Cricetulus griseus: one gene and its partner. The protein of the gene in region 1 interacts with the protein of each later gene in a biochemical or structural test. Links are inferred from orthologs where the notes say so. Each region holds a gene or a part of one and is shown on either strand. Other genes may lie near its edges.

Evidence for each region.
Region 2: the proteins of Setd1a (region 1) and Wdr82 form a complex in vitro, tested with the Homo sapiens proteins (2 studies listed by BioGRID). The link is inferred for Cricetulus griseus from reciprocal best matches to the Homo sapiens genes SETD1A and WDR82.

What each region holds. Positions count from the first base shown.
Region 1 is NC_048596.1:72,993,940-72,998,197, reverse strand, and holds the start of Setd1a (histone-lysine N-methyltransferase SETD1A), read left to right. Parts: upstream 1-1,285; 5' UTR 1,286-1,480; intron 1,481-1,759; exon of another isoform or gene 1,760-1,981; intron 1,982-1,993; exon of another isoform or gene 1,994-2,141; intron 2,142-2,325; exon of another isoform or gene 2,326-2,466; intron 2,467-2,794; 5' UTR 2,795-2,809; coding exon 2,810-2,959; intron 2,960-3,151; coding exon 3,152-3,247; intron 3,248-4,258. UniProt on the Homo sapiens protein: Histone methyltransferase that catalyzes methyl group transfer from S-adenosyl-L-methionine to the epsilon-amino group of 'Lys-4' of histone H3 (H3K4) via a non-processive mechanism.
Region 2 is NC_048597.1:214,373,077-214,377,504, forward strand, and holds the start of Wdr82 (WD repeat-containing protein 82), read left to right. Parts: upstream 1-1,498; 5' UTR 1,499-1,832; coding exon 1,833-1,993; intron 1,994-4,428. UniProt on the Homo sapiens protein: Regulatory component of the SET1/COMPASS complex implicated in the tethering of this complex to transcriptional start sites of active genes.

The DNA of each region.
Region 1 (4,258 bases):
TGTGGCCTCTAAACTCTTGTTTCTACACTTGGGATTTCATGTAAGTTTCTTCCTGAGTGATCACTTCATCCTACAGGACTATTCATAGGTTCTCTCATTTAGTCCTCACAGTCATCTCAATAAACAAGTATCATTTCCATTTCAGACAGGCAGCTGAGGCCAGGAAGGCTGATGCTCTTGCCCCACAGCCACACAGTCTGTGTGATTACCACAGCCTTCTACTGAGACAAAACAAAGGAACATCTCTCATATATATATATATATATATTTTTTCCCTCAGCCTCATAATTTTAGAGCACAATTCCTGTCAGTCTTGTGGTGAGAGACCTTGTACAGTCTTCATTTGATTACTTGGTCAATTAAAACGTGAAAAGGTAGGCACCAATAGTTTTCCCTACACTGTTGTGAGGGTTACATCAAGTTTTTTTGTGACCAACAGCCACCTATTCTTGGAGGGATGACCTGAAACTAAGGGAGGTCAATGTGAGGGACTGTTATGGAGGAGCCACCGAGGGCATCCTTGGCTCCGGAAGCACATCTGGTGGGAATGCCACTGTTCACTGGATGAAAAGGGGTGTTCAGCCTTGGCGCAGTCTCAGCTCCAAGCAAGCTTCCAAGTGAGACCCTGGCTTTGGGCTCCAGTGAGCACAGGGAGCCCTAGCCTAGGAACCGCCTGTGGATTACTGGGTTACTATCAGACCTTTACTTCCATAGGACACAAGGGTCCTCAGGCCTCTCTCAAACTTATCAGACTGAACCCTGAGACAGCTTTAAATCTAGTTACGCGCCCCTTGGGTCTGTCTGTCCGACACAGCTCAATATCCCCCGTCGGTGAAACGGGCATTTTAAAACAGGCCCAAGCGATGTGTAGCTAGGGCGCCCAGCACGCAAGAAGCCCTGGGTCAGACGCCCAGCAGCCCATACACCGGTTACGGCGGCGCACCTGTAACCCCAGCCCTCAGCAGACAGGGGCAAAGAGACCAGGAGCTCGAGGTCATCGTTCGGTGCGGAGCCAGTTCGATGTTACTCTGCCCGAGAAATAACAGGGGCCCGAGTGGACCAGCGGGAGGAAACCGACCGCTTCGTTACGTACGCGGGGCCGGCAAAGCGCCTGAGTCACCGCTCCCGCTTGTATTTTTCCACCTCCCATCCCGCCCAGGTTTTGGTGGATTCTACGGGAAGCAGCCCGTTACGCCGGGCTCCGCACGCCTGGCCACGCCTCTCTGCGCGGCGCGTCGGCCCCGCCCACAACAGGATCCGCAGATTCGCTACCCGACTCCTTAGGGTTATCTGGGCAGCTTCCCTTGTCTGAGATTTGTCATGAAACTCTGAGGAGACTTTTCCCCCCTGTGAGCATTTCGCCCCGAGTCGGAAGTGGGCTGCTGCTTGAGTTGTGCTAGAAACAAACATCCAGGAGTACTGGCCGACACCGCCAACGGGGCTCGGCTACCCGGGCGTCCTTTTCTCGACTCCACCGCAGGTGAGCGGAGGTGACGGCCAGAGCCCAGCACGGTGGCGAATCTGCAGCGCAGCCTCACAGGCGCTAGAGCTGCGCGAGGAAGGGGCAGGCAAGAGGAGCGAAGGAGCGCGCATCCTGTCCACTCTCTCGCCCCGCCCGCCCGCTCGCTCGCCCGCTCGCCCGCCCGCCTCGCGAATCTGCGTCGCCCGACGCACCACTCAAATCTCCCGAGCTCCGGCCGGCCTCCTCCCCCTCGCTCCGCCCCCCTTCCCTCAGGGGGCCCGTCGCAGCTTTCGTCGCCGCCGATTCGTCACGAACCCCAAGGCCAGAGCAGCTGGATCAGGGTGGTGCAGTCCACTCTCCGGGGGATGCGGCCAATCTTCAGGCTCCCTGGGCTACGACTCCCGAGCCTTACAGGGCGCCGCCCGAGGCAAGGCCGCCACACTCGGCCCCGTGGACCTCTCCGCAGCGCTCGCGGCGAAAGTGCGAATGCAGACGCGGCGCCCGCTGGGCCTCGTGCAGGTGGCGGTGGTGTTTGGTGCGCGCGCCGGGGAGGTGGTGGTGGGGGGGCGCCGCCGCCCCGCTGCGGGGCCGGGTCTCGCGCTGCGCCGCCGCCGCCGCCGCCTCACGCCGCTGAGGTGCTGCGCGCGGTGGGGGAGGGTGAGCCGCTCGCCACGAGCGGGTGAGTAGGGCCCTGGCGCGTGCGTGCGTGCGTGAGTGCGCGGAGCCGGGGTGTGTGTGGGGGGGGCACCGAACGCGCCCGGGCGGGAGGAGAGGGCAGCGGCGCGCGTTACCCGCCCCCCCCCCACCCAGCGCCCGCCCGCTCGCTCGCCCGCTCGCCCGCCCGCCCGGATTCAGGGACCGAAGCTGGGTCTCAGGCTCGGTCTCGCGGTGTTTCCAACGCCCCGAAGAAGTGCCACCTCTGGTCCAGAGGATCGGGGCGCGGGGACGCGAGCGGCTGTGTGGGAGCGGGAGCGGGAGCGGGGCTTGGCCCGGGCCGCTGGCCGGTGAGGAGGCGGGAGGGGGCGGGGCCTGCGAGGGGACGGGGGAGGGGTCTTGCGTGGAGGCCAAGTGGGGCGCGCTAGGGAGAGCGGGAAGGTAAGGGGGCGCGAGATGGGCCCTGGGCCCTGAGGGTAGAATTGGGGGTGGAGAGGAATGGAGTGTTACGGTGAACCTGGGTCCTCAGGGCAGAATCTGAGGGAGCCGTGGGTCATGCTGAGGTATGGAAACCGGACTGTTAGGAGAACCTGGAATCTGGGCAAGCCATTGAGGGGACAGCAACGGAGTCAGGCCGAAGCCTTGGACCCCCATTGCGTATCCCTCTTTTCCTGACAGTGTAAATGAGCAAGGATGGACCAGGAAGGTGGGGGAGATGGGCAGAAAGCCCCGAGCTTCCAGTGGCGGAACTACAAGCTCATAGTGGATCCTGCTCTGGACCCTGCCCTGCGCAGGCCTTCTCAAAAGGTGTACCGCTATGATGGAGTCCACTTCAGTGTCAGTGTGAGTGCACCAGACCTCCTCTTGGCTTCCTTGGTCCTCCCCCCATCCCCCTGTTGAATATCCAACACTAGACCTCCTGTACCTGTAGCTTGGTTTTCTGAGAATGAGCAAGTTACACCAGCTCTTCTGTATGTGGCTTCATAGAGTCAATAGCCTGGTAGATTTTCATGCTGGTCTCATTCTGTTTACTAGGACTCAAAGTATACGCCAGTGGAAGACCTCCAAGACCCCCGCTGCCATGTCAGGTCCAAAAACAGAGACTTTTCTCTCCCAGTTCCGAAGTTTAAGGTAATTATCTGCTGGTCTCCCAGCATGTTGGTTCTCGGAGAGTGTCAAGGATCCTAGCACCCTGGTCTTTTCATAGTCTTCGAAAGTGGCTATTCCAGTGGATCACTGACGACCAGATCATTGCTATTGAGTCCGTGAGGCTGAGATGTTTGGGACAGGAGGTACACTTGCATAGCTGAGGTGTTTCTAGTAGAGGGATGAGGTATAGGGGGATGCCCTAGTTATTCAGCAGTTAGGGGTACTGCTAAGGCCACTGCCCACTTGGTGTCCTTGGTTCCTCACTGTCATTTGGGTATGTGCTCCAACTTGCTTGTAAGAACAGCTCCATTTCCGGATTTAATGGGATATTCTTCAAGCTTTGGACTGAGCCTAGAAAGCTGGTGGTTCTTTGTTTCCTTCCAATTTTGTTTTTTTCATTGATTCTTAATTTATCGGGTGCTTTCACCTCTTTCACTTTCCCTGAGCAGTCTCACTTAAGCTCTGTTTTCTGAATGTTTATTTCCCATACCTATTTCCATCTAACACCTACCCAGACACTAGAGACTTAAACACATTATCCTTATTCTCTCGGTCCTTTTCGTTTTTTTCTTTACTGAAACAGCAACACCAGGTACTCAGGTGCATGAGCTAGAAACCTACGAGTCACCTGGTAGTTATTTCCTTTCCATAGTCATAATCTTTGTCTTTCATTGCTGTTTTCTTCATGCAGAGTCTTATGTATTTCACTTGGTTTTCCTGGCTCCCTCCTCAATTTTAGCTTCTATCTTGCTGTCATTAGTCTCTGGCACTGTTGTTCTTACTTTATGTTCTCATTTTATGTTTCTGAGTGTGTCTTTTCTTTCCTTTGTTTTTTGTTGTTGTTGTTGTTTTGTTTTTGGTATTTTTCAAGACAGGGTTACTCTGTGTATAGCCTCAGCTGTTCTGGATCTCACACTGTAGACTAGGCTAGCCTTGAACTCAGATATGCCTGCCTCTGCCTCCTGAGTGCTTCGATCAAAGGCCTGTGCTAAC
Region 2 (4,428 bases), on another chromosome or scaffold:
CTTTTTTTTTTAAAGATTTTATTTATTACGTATACAACATTCTGCTTCCATGTTTATCTGCACACCAGAAGGGGGCACCAGATCTCATAACGGATGGTTGTGAGCCACCATGTGGTTGCTGGGAATTGAAATCAGGACCTCTGGAAGAGCAGTCGGTGCTCTTAACCTCTGAGCCATCTCTCCAGCCCCCATACACTCTTTTTTATTCATTTACTTTTTGTTTGTTTTCAAGGCAGGGTTTACTCTGTAGCTTTGGAGTCTGTCCTGGAACTCAGTTTGTAGACCAGATGGCCTGGAATTCACAGAGATCCGCATGTCTCTGCCTCCGGAGTTCTGGGACTAAAGGATTGCGCCACCACCACCCGCCACACACACATTTTTAAAGAGGCCTAAAATAGTTCATGATCATTTGGCTTTTGGCTGCATTTTATCTCATAATTCCGAAGTTCTAGTCAGCCAGTCCACAGGATCTTTACTACGTATGTGCTACAGAGGAGGCCAGTTCACACAGCAGGTCGGAACAGGACACCAGATCTGTCCTCACCATCTCAAGCTTTCATGGCAGACTGCATCGTCCTTTTTAGGCTCAGAAACAATCACTGGGAATTGACTGGATTTGCAGTTTGGAAAGTTGCCATCCATTCAGGTTGCATTCAAACCGGTTTTTCCTACTCCTCAAACCTCAGAACAAATTGTAGCCAGGTGCTCTGCTTTGTCAGGTGGCCACTGCAGTCCGGACTTAGCCTTGTCTTCCCCCCTCCCCGCCCCCAGCCAACAATTTCTCTACGTAGATACCCCGATTTTTTACAGGAGGACGTGGAATTCAACCCCTAGTTATTTCCAAGAAGACTCCAACTTTTCTAGTGTTTCCATTTCGTTTGTTTTGTTAACCATTGTCATGATATGTGGGATTCTGGTCACACCTTCCTCTTAGCTGCCAGTGAGTGAAATGTCTCACAGTGAGTGCTTTCCTAGGGTTTCCCCCTCCTCCCGCATTCAAGTTAGCTATCTTCATGCGCTTTGACACTCTCGAAAAAGTTCTTAAAGAAAGCTCTGACATCCTGAGCAGTGATCATGGTATATACCCAATTGAAAGAGGCACACACTTAACATTTTATATGTTGTCCTTCATTAAATTAACACATGGAGGCCTCCTGGGTTGGTGGTGTGGTGGTCAAGCCCCGCAGCGACCGGTTCACCTGAGTCACACCCACGAGCAGGTCATGAGGGGTGACCTCCGCCAGTACCTGCGGCCTCAGGGGCACCTGAGTCTCCCTGGGGAACGGCTCACAAAGGCACTAGTCCCGAGGCGACCTCAACTTTCCCGCCCTCAGGAAGCCTCTGGACGCTCCACGCCCGCAGGCCTCCCCTCTCCACACCAGCGACCGGCGACTTCCCGGTCCACCGACTTGGGAGCCCGCCCCGCTGACGTCATCTCCCCGCCCCCGCAGCGCGCGCCTCAGTTCCCGCCCCGCCCCTTTTCCCGGCGTCCGCCGCGGCAGAGGCTCCTCGCCCTCTGATTTTGCTTCTCCTTACAAGATGGCCGACACAATGAGCCGGCGCATCGCCGGTTGGCCCTGAAGCGACTCTGGGGAAGAACGGTCAGTGAGGTTCCCGTCATCCCGCCGAGAGGGCCTTGCCCGAGGAGGTCGGCGCGGCGACCCGACTGTCAGACGCCGCCCCGGTAGCCGCCAGCGCGGCGCCCGCACGGCTGGGGTTGGCCCTGAGCAGCCCGCCCGCCCGCTCGCTCGCCCGCTCGCCCGCCCGCCTCTCGGCCCCGCCCCGGCCCTGCGCCGCCGCGGCTGCCTTCAGCCGCCGCCGCCGCCGCCGCCATGAAGCTGACCGACAGCGTGCTGAGGAGCTTCCGCGTCGCCAAGGTGTTCCGCGAGAACTCGGACAAGATCAACTGCTTCGACTTCAGCCCCAACGGGGAGACGGTCATCTCCAGCAGCGACGACGACTCCATCGTGCTCTACGACTGCCAGGAGGGCAAGTGAGTGTGGCGGTGGCCGCGGGCCGGGTTCCAAGCGCCTCCCTCCCCTTCCTTGTGTCGCCCGTCCCCGGCTGAGCCCCCACCCCCCACCCCCAGCCTGTGGTGTGCACCCCGCCTCCATCCTGCAGTGGTGCAGCCCCCTCCTGTCTCTGTAAAGCCAGGGTGGTCCTAGTCAGCGCTAGCGTTGCTGTGCCGGGCGTGCGTCTTTGGTCTCTCCCGAGCGCGCCCGCTCTCCAGACCCCACCTTGACCTTGACCTTTAAACGCCGCGTCCCTGCCCCCGGCGGCCAGGCGGGTGGCCCTTCCCGCTCCCCTGCCTGTCAGAGGCTGCGGGTCCCCCGGCTCTGAGCTCGGCGCAGAAGCGGAGGAGCTGTGGTGCCCGTCCGTCAGCGGCGTCGGCTCTCTGCCCTCACCGCGGTGACCTGGATTCAGCCCTGGCACCGCGCCCGTCCCCCCTGCCCCTCGGCTTCCAGCGCGGCCTTTCTGCCACCCAGCCCCGCGAGAGGCAGTTTTCAGCTGTCAGGATTTATCGGTTGCGCCTGTGCGTGAGCCTGCTGCCTTTTTCCCTGTGCCGATACCCACGCTTACAGTTAACTTGTTAAACAGCCTCTCGGAAACTTTTCAGTGCCAGGCTCGGGCGAACTTGGCCGCCCCATTCTGGTCAGAATGTGAGCTCCCTTTAAGACAAAGAAAGCGTTCTGGAACAATTTAGTGTTTCCTTTTGCATTACAAAAAAAAAAAAAAAGTTTACTCGAGTGCGGCGGCCCAGCCGCCAATCTCAGCATTTAGGCCACAGAGGCAGGCAGATTCCGAGTTCTGGACTTCATAGGCCAAGACTCAAAAGGGTTTTAAAAAAAAAAAAAAAAAAACCGCCAGTGTGTAGTTTGCTTGGAATTAACAAAACTCTGGATCTGGTTATGGGAGTTATGTGTTGGTTGGATAACCGCTATGGTTGTGTGCCTTTGCTGAGCAGATCACTTTGCCTTTTTCATAGCCTGAGGTGGGAGAGACGTTGTCTGCCTGGCCTCACCCTCTAGGTCCAAGTCCTTTGCAACAGAAACTAGTGTAGGCTAAATTTGATTTCCCTTGTCAACTTCAGCTGCCTTTCCTAAGCAGGAGATGTTTGGTTTAGTTTAATAGCTACTGTTTTTGACATTTTGTTAAAGTTACCTATGTTTTTGAAGCCTTAACTTTTTCTCTACTTACTCCATCTGTTCCTTTTGTTTCATTTTTCAAATAACAGACAGTTTTCTTTTGGAACTTGTCCCTCTGCATTTATCTAAAGTAAGGCTGTGTTGTAGACTAAGCTGCATATGTTTTTCTTGACTGTTTTCCTCACTGGGACTATAATAAAGTATTATGTAACTGTCTCTGGACCTGCCTGCTGTGTGTGGAAGAGTTCCCTACAGTGGTGATCCTGGGGAAAGAGAATCACAGATAGTTGTTTGAATTGATGTTCGTTTTAGTGTGTTGGTTTTTATCCTGCTCTGACCATTTGAGTTTGTTTGGAAGAGCTGGTAGGATTTAAAGTTGGGAACTGGAAGTAATTTGAAGTTGGTTTGCTTGAAATATTTAGTGTAGTACATATATGAGAATCTTCCCCCCAAAAGTTGAAGTGGAAATGCATATCCCTTATTCAAAGAAATAAAATGCTAAGACTAATTTATGTATAAAACCTTTTTACATGATTACAGACTTCATAGAACGTTACCAGTGTTCCAAAGAAATTTCTTGAAGAAAAAAAAAAAAGGCGCTTTCTTGCTCCGCAGTGCCTGTAATTCCAGCACTGGGGTAGGAGACTGGAGGTGGGAATGTTGGGATGCAGCTTGAACTACATAGTAAGATCCTGTCTCAAAAAAGAAAATATAAGAGCTGGAGAGATGGTTAAGAGTATACTTGGTGCTCTTACAGAGGATCTGGGGTCAGTTCCCAGCACCAGCATGGAGGTTCACAACCATCTGTAACTCCAGGGGGTCTGACTCCTACTTCTGACTTCCCTGATACCAGGAACATGTAGACATACACACAGGCAAACACCTATACACATAAAAATAAAGTAAATAAATATTTTTTAAAAGTTGTTTTAAGAAGAAAATATGTTTTAAAAAAGGTTTCTAGGAACTGGAGAGATGGCCCAGGGTTAAGAGCATATGCTAATCTTGCAGTTCAGTGCCAGAACCGACCGGAGGCCCACAACTACATTTAACTCCAGATCTGATGCTCTCTTCTGGCCTCCATGGGCAATAGCCATGTAAAGGGTGCATATTATGTAGATGCAGGCAAAACACTCATATACATAAAATAAAATCAGCAAATCTAAAAAAAAAAATGTTTAGAAGAATGATCTAACAGTTGGAACTAGGTATGTAACCATAGTGCTGGCTGGCTTCAAACAGCAATCCTCCTGCTTTGCCCTCCCATGTGCTACGATTACAA